Ovis aries: one gene and its partner. Each later gene encodes a partner of the first gene's protein in a complex. Links are inferred from orthologs where the notes say so. Each region holds a gene or a part of one and is shown on either strand. Other genes may lie near its edges.

Region 1 (4,396 bases):
TCTATGGGGTCGCACAGAGTCGGACACGACTGAAGTGACTTAGCAGCAGCAGCAGAATGATGTCTGTGCTTGTAAGCACGTGTGAACACCTGCTGTAGTGCTCTGCATTATGACCACCTGCAGCACTGGTTTAATTATGTTTGCTGCTGCTGCTAAGTCACTTCAGTCGTGTCCGACTCTGTGCGACTCCATAGACCGCAGCCCACCCGGCTCTCCCGTCCCTGGGATTCTCCAGGCAAGAACACTGGAGTGGGTTGCAATTTCCTTCTCCAGTGCATGAAAGGGAAAAGAGAAAGTGAAATCTGTCAGTTGTGTCCGACTCCTAGTGACCCCATGGACTGCAGCCTACCAGGCTCCTCCATCCAAGAAATAGCAACTGGGATCCTTTTGTGGAAGGTAGGGAAGGGACTTCTTACCCCAGGGCCCTGAATCAGCCACCACCTGGTGGCAGCATACTCATGACACACCCAAGACCTTCTCCTGAGGACTTTTCAACTCAGTTGTACAACCAACAAACACACAGACACCTTCTACAAAACAGAGAGAGGTTTTTATTGTGCCAGCTGCTGAGTGATGCTTCATGGGAAGGGCCCAGCCAGGGGCAGGTGAGGGGGCATGACAGGTACAGCCTTTCTAGTCGGTCCTGCCCGTGGGGTCCCTGGGGTGGAGAGAGGGGCCATCGTCGTCATTGTAGCGCCGGATGATAGAGTTGATCCAGTTGGCAAACTTGGCAACAGAGGCAAAGGAGTCTGGGAAGACCCCGGAGCCGCAACCCCCACGGATGAAGGAATCGATCCCATGGACCAGCCCGTTGCAGACCAGGGGCCCGCCGGAGTCCCCCTGTGGAGCCAGACAAATTGGGGGGCTAGGGTTCCCGGCCCAGCCCTCTCAGCTCCACCTACCTGCCCTTCAGGGTGGGGAAGATATTCCAGAGGTCTGGCTGCAGCAGCCTGGGAGGGGGTGGGGTGGGGTCTGGGGGCACCCAGGGTACTTACAAAGCAGATGCCAGCACGCCGGCGTGGCACCAGGGTGCACACGTTGGTGGGGCGGCAGAGACCAGTCACCACGGTCACGTTGAGCTGCTGCAGGATTTGGGGCGGTGGCCGGTTCGTGCCCAGCCGGCCCCAGCCCATGGCCACGCACTGCACACCTTCGCCCACGCCCTGGTCCTGGGCAGGCAACTGGGCCACCTGCACGTTGGCGTTGAGGGTGGCCATCCTGTTGAGCTGCAGAGGAGGGTGGTGGGGTATGAAGCAGTCACGGGAGAGGGGTGGCGAGCCACGGCTGTGACTCTGGGGCCAGGTTCCCCTGCTGAGGCTCTACCATTGTCCTGGGGTGTTTAAGAGCAGGATGCGCACCCTCTTCATGCCTCCCATCGAGCCTCACTTTCCCCGTCTGTAAAGTGGAAGGAACCACTATGGCTGAGGCCACGTCTCTGGACATGTCTTTTATATTTATTTATTTATTTGTTTGGCTGCATGGGGTCTTAGTTGCAGCATGCGGGATCTAGTTTCCCAACCAGGGATTGAACCTGGGTCCCCTGAATTTGGGAGTGCAGAGTCTTAGCCCCTGGACCACCAGGGAAGTCCCTGAATGTGTCTTGAGTGCAGTAAACAGTAGGTGTCCAACAGAACATACCGTGGGCTACACCAACGACCATAAAGCCCTTGTTCTAGAACATTCTCAGAGAATAATCATAGCTGTGCAAGCAGAGGGGAAAGGTAGGTTTCTGCCTCCAGACTCCCACCCGCCGAATGTAGGTAGTTTTGCCCCATTTCCCAAAGAGGGAGGCCGTCAGTGCCCACTGCCAGGAAAGACAGCTGCTCAGAGCTTCTGGCTGTCTTATCTAATCTCTGGCAGCGCTGCGGGATGCGGGGGTGTACTTCTCCATTTCACAGCGGGGTGACTAAAGCACCAGGATTAGGGGGGACATCAGGTCTGCCCCCCGCCCGCCGCACCCCCCAGTCTCCTGCCCCTCCCCCCTCCCCAAGCCTCTCAGGACGCTGCACCTGCCCTGCCCGCCCTGCCCCCCGCGCACCTGGAGAACCACGACGTCGTTCTGCAGGTTCAAGGGGTCGAAGCCGTTTTCAAAGACCCTCTGGACCCTGAACATCTGCCGGGTTCGCTCCCGCCGCCGCAGATTATGCGCCCCCAGCACCACGCGCACCGATCGAAAGTTCCTGGGGTCGCGGGCGGACAGGAGGTGATGGGGGGGGGGTCCCCGGGATCGGAAGCGGCGGAGAGACCCCGCTGGGGCGCAGGGGGACCCTGCAAACCCTCGCGCTTTTGCCGGAAGCCCCCACCCTGGGCCGGCCCCACGCCCCTCGCGCAGGGACCCTCGATGTGTGCGCCCGCGGAGACACTCACACGCCGTTCAGACAATGCGCTGCCGACAGCACGAAGTTGCGCGCGATGAGGGTGGCACCGCAGAAGTGGCCTCCGCGCAGCTGCAGCGAAGCTATGAAGGGCCAGGCGTGCGGCCGGGCCGCCCGGCCCCCCACGATCTCCGAGGCCAGCGCGGGGCCTGGGGGCACGGGCGGGGTGGGGCGGTAAGCAGAGGAGGAACCCCCGACCCCTGGAACCCCCAGCAGGACCCCGCAGGGTTGGGCCCTTCTATTGCTTGTCACCCAGAGAGGGGAGGGGGCGTGTACGGTCCTCCTGCCCCGGCGCAGCCAGACCTGAAGTCCCCACAGGGTGCAGGGTGTACCCCCCCTTCACCCTCACCACTCAGAACCTCAGTCTCCTCATCCCATGAGGTTGGGGGGTGCGGCAGGGTCCAGGGTGAGTGGAGAGGGGGAGCAGAAGACCAGGGACAGACTCGACCCCACTCACCCCCCAGCAGCAGGGCCAGCAGGATGGGGGCCAGGGCAGGGCTGAAGTGTCTGCAGCTTTGGGTCATGGTCGGTTGGGGGCTCCAGGGTTTCTGCCCTCTGTGCCCACCTGTCCCTCTTATAGTCCCCACACCGAGAGGCAGTTGCAGTTGCCCCACGGCGGGGCCAGGTGCCCCTACTTCCTCTCCCCATCCAGGGGATGGGGGACCGCCGACTGGGTGATGGGAAGAACAGTTGGGGAAGGAACTGTGCAAGTGACCAGGAGGGTCACCAGTTCAAACTCAGGGTGCATGATTAAACCCTAATGTCAGATAGACATCTTTTTAACATAAGTGTATCCCACATATAAGCATGGGATGTAGTTATGAACAAAGTTTATCCAACATTCAAAGTTAGCAGGGTGTCCTGTGTAAGTGAAGTGAAAGTTAGTCGCACAGTTGTGTCTGACTCTGCAATCCCATGAACTATAGCCCCCCAGGCTCCTCTGTCCCTGGAATTTTCCAGGCAATAATCCTGGAGAGGGTTGCCATTTCCTTCTCCAGGGGATCTTCCTGACTCAGGGATCGAACCTGGGTCTCCTGCACTGCAGGCAAATTCTTTACAACCTGAGCCACTAGGGAAGCCAATATTCCTTACATGTAGTTATGTACAAAGTTAGTTTATCTGACATTCAGAGTTAGCAGGACATCCTGTATTTTTGCTAAATGTGGTCATACATGCATGCATGCTAAGTTGCTCAGTTGTGTCCAACTCTTGGCGACCCCATGGACTGTAGCCTGCCAGGCTCCTCTGTCCATGGGATTCTCCAGGCAAGAATACTGGTCACTCTGGCCCAGAGGAATTGTTTGGGATGCCACGTGCCTCAGTTTCACCAGGGCTCTCTGATAACAGCAATCATGTGCACCCAGCTCTGTCCTAATATTTTGCAGGCATGGCAGGGTCTCCATATCAGCCACCTGCCCAGTGACATGGTTGGGGGACCTGGGCTTTGAATCCAAAATTCACAGCTAGAGGAGGGCTTGCTGACTTCCTCGGCTTTGAATGTCCCTCTGGGAGCCTGGACTTCCAACCTGTCTTTGGTTGCTCCTTCTAACAAGGAACTCACTCCTACCCAGGATTCAGTCAGTCTCTGGGGGCCCTCCGAGGTTCTGGGAAGGAACCCCTCCCAAACCATCCCACCCTTGCCCCTCTGAACTCTGAAACCCCTTCCAGCCGGAGCCAGAGGAGAGAATTCCCTCCTGGGCCTGGAGGCTGGACCATGGATCTCCATCCAAGTTTGAGAGCTTTGGTATGGACCTTGGAAGAGCTCAAGCTGGACAAGGGAGATAGAGTCCCCCAGGGCCAATCCCCAGCCCCATGGTGCCCGTTCTCCTCCCCCCACCCAACTCCTCACCCCAGCTGCTCCAGCTGCAACGGCTGTAGCCAAGGCTGTCGCAAGAAGCAACGTTCTCCTGGCTTGGAGCAAGGCTTGGGGCGGGAACCAACGGATCCATCTGAGGAAGAGGTGGGCGGGGGCACCCAGGGACACCCAGAGCCCAGCTGGGATGGGAGTCCAGTTTGTCCCT
Region 2 (4,512 bases), on another chromosome or scaffold:
GGTAGTTCCGTTTTTTTTCTTTTTTCTTTTTTTCTTTTTGAAGTAGCAAATGTGCAATGCTTTCTTAAAATTTTTGTGTCGATGTAGAGTTGATATAAAATATTATATGTTACAGGCATATTATATAGTGACTGACATTTTAAGGGTTATACTCCATTTATAGTTATAGTAAAATATTGGCTCTATCCCTCAGGTTGTGCAATATATCCTTGCAGCTTATTTTATACATAATAGTTTGTACCTCTTAGTCCCCCTGGGTTTCCTGGTGGCACTAATGGCAAAGAATTTGCCTGCCCTTGCAGGAGATGAAAGAGACACAGATTTGATTCCTGGGTTGGGAAGATCCTTTGAACAAGGGTATGGCAACCCACTCCCATATTCTTGCCTGGAGAATCCTATAGATAGATGGAGCCTAGCGGGCTACAGTCTACAGGTTACAAAGAGTCAGACACAACTGAAATGACTTAGCACGCACACTTAGTCCCCTACCCCTGTATTGTCCCTCCCAGCTTCCTTCTCCCCACATAACCTCTAGTTTGTTCTGGCACTCAGGTCTCACTCTGGGATTTTCTGTCACCATCATCATGAGGACTCTCTTATTTTCCTTTCCTACATTCTACTTTGTGTATTTCATGCATTTTTTTTCTTGGTTTCACCTTAAGAGGATTTCTTTTGCTATTTAGAATTGTTTAAACTTCTCATCATGTAGCCAGTGTACAATAAATGTCCATTATGATCATGCAAGACCAGTGAGGATGACTCTGGGGTGTGAGAGGATTTTTTTGAGCATATGAAATGACATACCTGTTTCAACTGGCTCTTCAACTGACTGCTAAGAAGAGCCCCATCGGTTTATCTCAGGAAACAGGGCTCCAACGTGATTGACTTTGCATCAGTCTCACTCCCATTCTGCTAACAGGTAGTGTGTTCATTCTTCTTCAACTTCCTTCCACTCTTTTGAACTCAAGTTCCCCCTCTGTGATCTAGTCCGTTACTATTATCCCGACTTCACAACTGAGAAAGCTGAAGACCCAAGAGGTTTTCCTTGCTGTCCCCTCTCCACCTGTCATTCAGCAGATTCTCTGTGTGACTGGCACTGCAATTATATGTGGTAGTAAGCCAGGAGAGAATGAGAAAAAATGTCACCTGCCTTTTAGGGAAGGGAGTGACCCTGGGTAATGTGGTAACAAATGTGGCAATCCTCCAGAGCCCTGGAGTGTGGGAAAGTCATGGCATTTTCAGAGACCATGGTTCCAGATTTCTAACAAGTTCCTTTGTAATGTCCCGTTTGGCCCTCTTTGCCCCTCCCCGACTCCTCCCCAAGGAGGGTGATTCAGGGTCCCCTAACATGTTCCCAAGCGGCTTTCTGACACCACCCCCTCCAAGTCCTTCATTCCCCTTCCTAGTCCTCACGCTCTTGCCTAAGGGCAGGAAAGAGCCAGCAACACTGGATGGCGTGGTCACTGTCCTCACCTGAATTTCCTGCTGAGGAAATAGCAGCTGAGAGAACTCAGGGCAGTTCCGGTGGGAGCACACCCATCAGAGCGGGTATAAAGGGTGAGGCTGACACTGGTCACCACCGCCCCGCCTGCCCTCAAGATGAAGTCCAGCAGCCTTATCATCCTCCTGGTGATATTTGCCTTCGGATTCCTGATGCCCTGGACTGTGGAAGGTGCTCCCAAACGTGAGCTGGACTTTCTCAGGCCATACCCAGGTACCAAAGTCAATGATGGCTCAGCGTGGGAATAATCTCTTCTTTTTCGCCTGGGGGCTGGTCTTGAAGCCCTCTTTCCAATGGCCTATGGTCCTTAATTTCAAGCATGTCTCTGAGGACTTCAACTAAGAGAGTTTCTGTGCATCCAGAGATAAGCCCTTGTATTTCTTATTTTTCTTTCTCTATATCTCCTTCTTTACTGTTTTTTCTTTTTTCTCTGTCACATTATTTTGGTCACTATCTGTTTTAATTTTCCAAATTGTTCTCTGTTTCTCTTAATTTTGTTGTTGTTGTTGTTAATGGTCACTATTTTTTTCTATTTGCTTCTCAGTTGATCTGTTCTCTTTTGTTTAATCTCAAATGAGTGGCCTCTCTTGCTGTCACTGTCTCTGCCTCCCTCCCAGCCAGCCCTGGGCCAGGGATACCTGGCCATGAACTCTGTTCAGCCCTCCCTGGAGCTGACTTATACAGACATGCCGTAGCTGACTGTGAAATCTTCAAGACTTCTGTGAGGTAGTAGATGTCACATTGGTAGCTTGAAATAAGGAACAGTGGGAATATTTACACCAGGGAAACTGGCAAACTCCACAAAGTCTCCCTCTTGAAAGATTTAGTGGCACACCGCCATCTATACCTTCTCTCCCGTTGACTCCCTCTTGGTTGAGGGTTTGGCTGAGCTTGCCACTGTCCCACATCGGCCTTGAAACTGGAATCCTAATGGCTCCCTTCATTCCTTTGAGGTCAGCTACTTGGGTTAGGCTTTCTCTCCTCACCTGGTTCCTTCTGGAGGATTGTGATCTTGACTCAGTGCCAGCTTCTTCCTCCTTTGTTCTTACCCTTCAGAAAAAGGCAAACCTGGAGCCTGTCCTTTCGTCCGCCCTGTGCTGTGCTTTGTATATGAACCGCCTGAGTGCCAGAGTGACTGGCAGTGTCCGAAGAGGCAGAAATGCTGCCAGGGTCTTTGTGGCATCAAATGCACGGATCCTGTAGACACGTCAAAGCCAGGTGAGGAAGTCCAGTCCTGGAAAGGGGGATCAGGGAGGTCTGAGCTTGAGGACATGCTTCTTGGGCAAGTGGAGGGGGCTCGTCTGAACTGGGGTGCAGGATGGGATAGAGTCAGGGCTTCTCCACCCCTTCTACCCGCTCTGTTTTCTCAGGTAGACAGTAGGCCAGCTGGTGAGCCTGTCAGCCAGCAGGTCAGTCAGTTCATGAATAGTCTGTCTATCAGACACACGTATGTCAGACACTAGTTGGGGTCCCGTTGGTGGGAGGGAGTCTTCTTTAGGACACGCACCAGCCTCAGATTGGATCCTGAAGGTAGGGAAGAACCAGTTTCCACGCATGGGGTGAAGATGGAGTTGGGAATTTGGGTGATGTGCCAAGGGGCGAAGCCTCTGAATTGTGACTTTGTTTTCATCACTTAAAGTCACTCCTGGGAAGTGTCCGGTGGTCACTGGCCACTGTGAGAGGCCCAACCCTGTAAACATCTGCCAGGATGACAGCCACTGCCTGAATGGTTTCAAGTGCTGCAGGGGTCCGTGTGGGAATTCATGTGTCCTGCCGGTGAAAGGTGAGGAGAAGATCTAGCAAGCTCCGCATCCCCCTGGACCTTAATATGCTCTCAACCTAATGGTACCTTTGTATGTGAAAGAGGTTGCTTGACATCTTCCAGTACTTCCCCATTCCCTAAGCAGATGCTCTGCGCTTCAGTGACCTTTACCCCTTAGATTTCTCTAGACAAGTCCCAGGAGGCACCTATGACAGGCCGTGCTGGGTCCTAGGAAGGAAAGCTTCTTGGAATAAGGCAGGAGGAAGGAGAGTGATACAAGAGGCAAAAGTTCTATCTTTGAATATCATCTCTGCCTCTGACTGACTATGTGACTATGAGCAACTGACTATTTCATCCTCCACCTCAGTTTCCCCATCTGTAAAATGGACACAATTATATCCATAGCGATACTAAATGTAAAAGTGATTTTTAAGACTTGAAGTACTATTTGCATTCAGAGAATTTTGCTATGGTTATGGCCTCGATTGGCTGAGTTATCTTGAACCACAGGGGAACTCTAGCAAGATGCATAGATGTCAATCTAGCCCAATACCCTGATTTTATCAGAGGGCATCAGAGAAGAGCCTGTGAAAAGCCTGGATTTTGTCTTGATTCCTACATCAAAGGCCAGCACTGTTTCAATGATTCCAGCACAATGCTCTCTACCTATCCCAAGGGACCTAGGACTTGGTGGTGGAAGGACCATCTTGGTGGGACAGATATAAGGGTCACTTAAATAATTCCTGTGCTGAAGCTCCACTTTATTTTCTTTCTACAGATTCATCCTTTCCAGGTCAAAAACATTAGGACTTCCTGGTCTGTGTGCTCTGGGGATTCCCCCTACTCCCCACCCTGCAAGCCTGGAAAACAATGAAAGCACCTTGGTCAAGATGTGGTTTTGTGACCAATACTCCTTTGGGGACAAGATCTGGCCTGTTTTATCTATGTATCCCCAGCATCCAATGTGAAGCTTGGCACACGACAGGAAATGCCTATTGATCAGTGAATAAATAAATGTACTAGGTTTTCTCTGCATTTCCATCTTCCTTGACTCTTTTGAATGTGGACTAGGGTATGAGGAGTGAGATGAAGAATAAAATGTCTGAATGTGCGGGGTTTCTCCAAAAACCCATAAAATAGCAATCGGAAGAAGAGAGTGTTTTGGTTCCAAGCAGATACAGGTTTAAATCTTACATTCATAGATTACAGGTTCTGTAGATTTGGGCAATGAGTTTGTTCCATTGACCCT

The links.
Region 2: the proteins of ELANE (region 1) and antileukoproteinase-like are in contact, whole or in part, in a crystal structure (PDB 2Z7F), measured with the Homo sapiens proteins. The link is inferred for Ovis aries from reciprocal best matches to the Homo sapiens genes ELANE and SLPI. Residues at the interface, in NP_001963.1 of Homo sapiens: His53, Phe54, Cys55, His70, Cys71, Asn74, Val75, Pro111, Val112, Asn113, Leu114, Leu158, Ile165, Leu180, Arg182, Val197, Cys198, Phe199, Gly200, Asp201, Ser202, Ala216, Ser217, Phe218, Val219, Arg220, Gly221; in NP_003055.1 of Homo sapiens: Tyr93, Gly94, Gln95, Cys96, Leu97, Met98, Leu99, Pro102, Phe104, Met121, Cys122.

The regions. Positions count from the first base shown.
Region 1 is NC_056058.1:41,086,101-41,090,496, reverse strand, and holds ELANE (neutrophil elastase), read right to left. Parts: upstream 2,926-4,396; 5' UTR 2,900-2,925; coding exon 2,833-2,899; intron 2,525-2,832; coding exon 2,368-2,524; intron 2,181-2,367; coding exon 2,039-2,180; intron 1,227-2,038; coding exon 996-1,226; intron 841-995; coding exon 634-840; 3' UTR 529-633; downstream 1-528. UniProt on the Homo sapiens protein: Serine protease that modifies the functions of natural killer cells, monocytes and granulocytes. Inhibits C5a-dependent neutrophil enzyme release and chemotaxis. Promotes cleavage of GSDMB, thereby inhibiting pyroptosis. Promotes blood coagulation.
Region 2 is NC_056066.1:73,486,996-73,491,507, forward strand, and holds antileukoproteinase-like, read left to right. Parts: upstream 1-1,466; 5' UTR 1,467-1,599; coding exon 1,600-1,714; intron 1,715-2,557; coding exon 2,558-2,719; intron 2,720-3,140; coding exon 3,141-3,284; intron 3,285-4,041; coding exon 4,042-4,070; 3' UTR 4,071-4,298; downstream 4,299-4,512.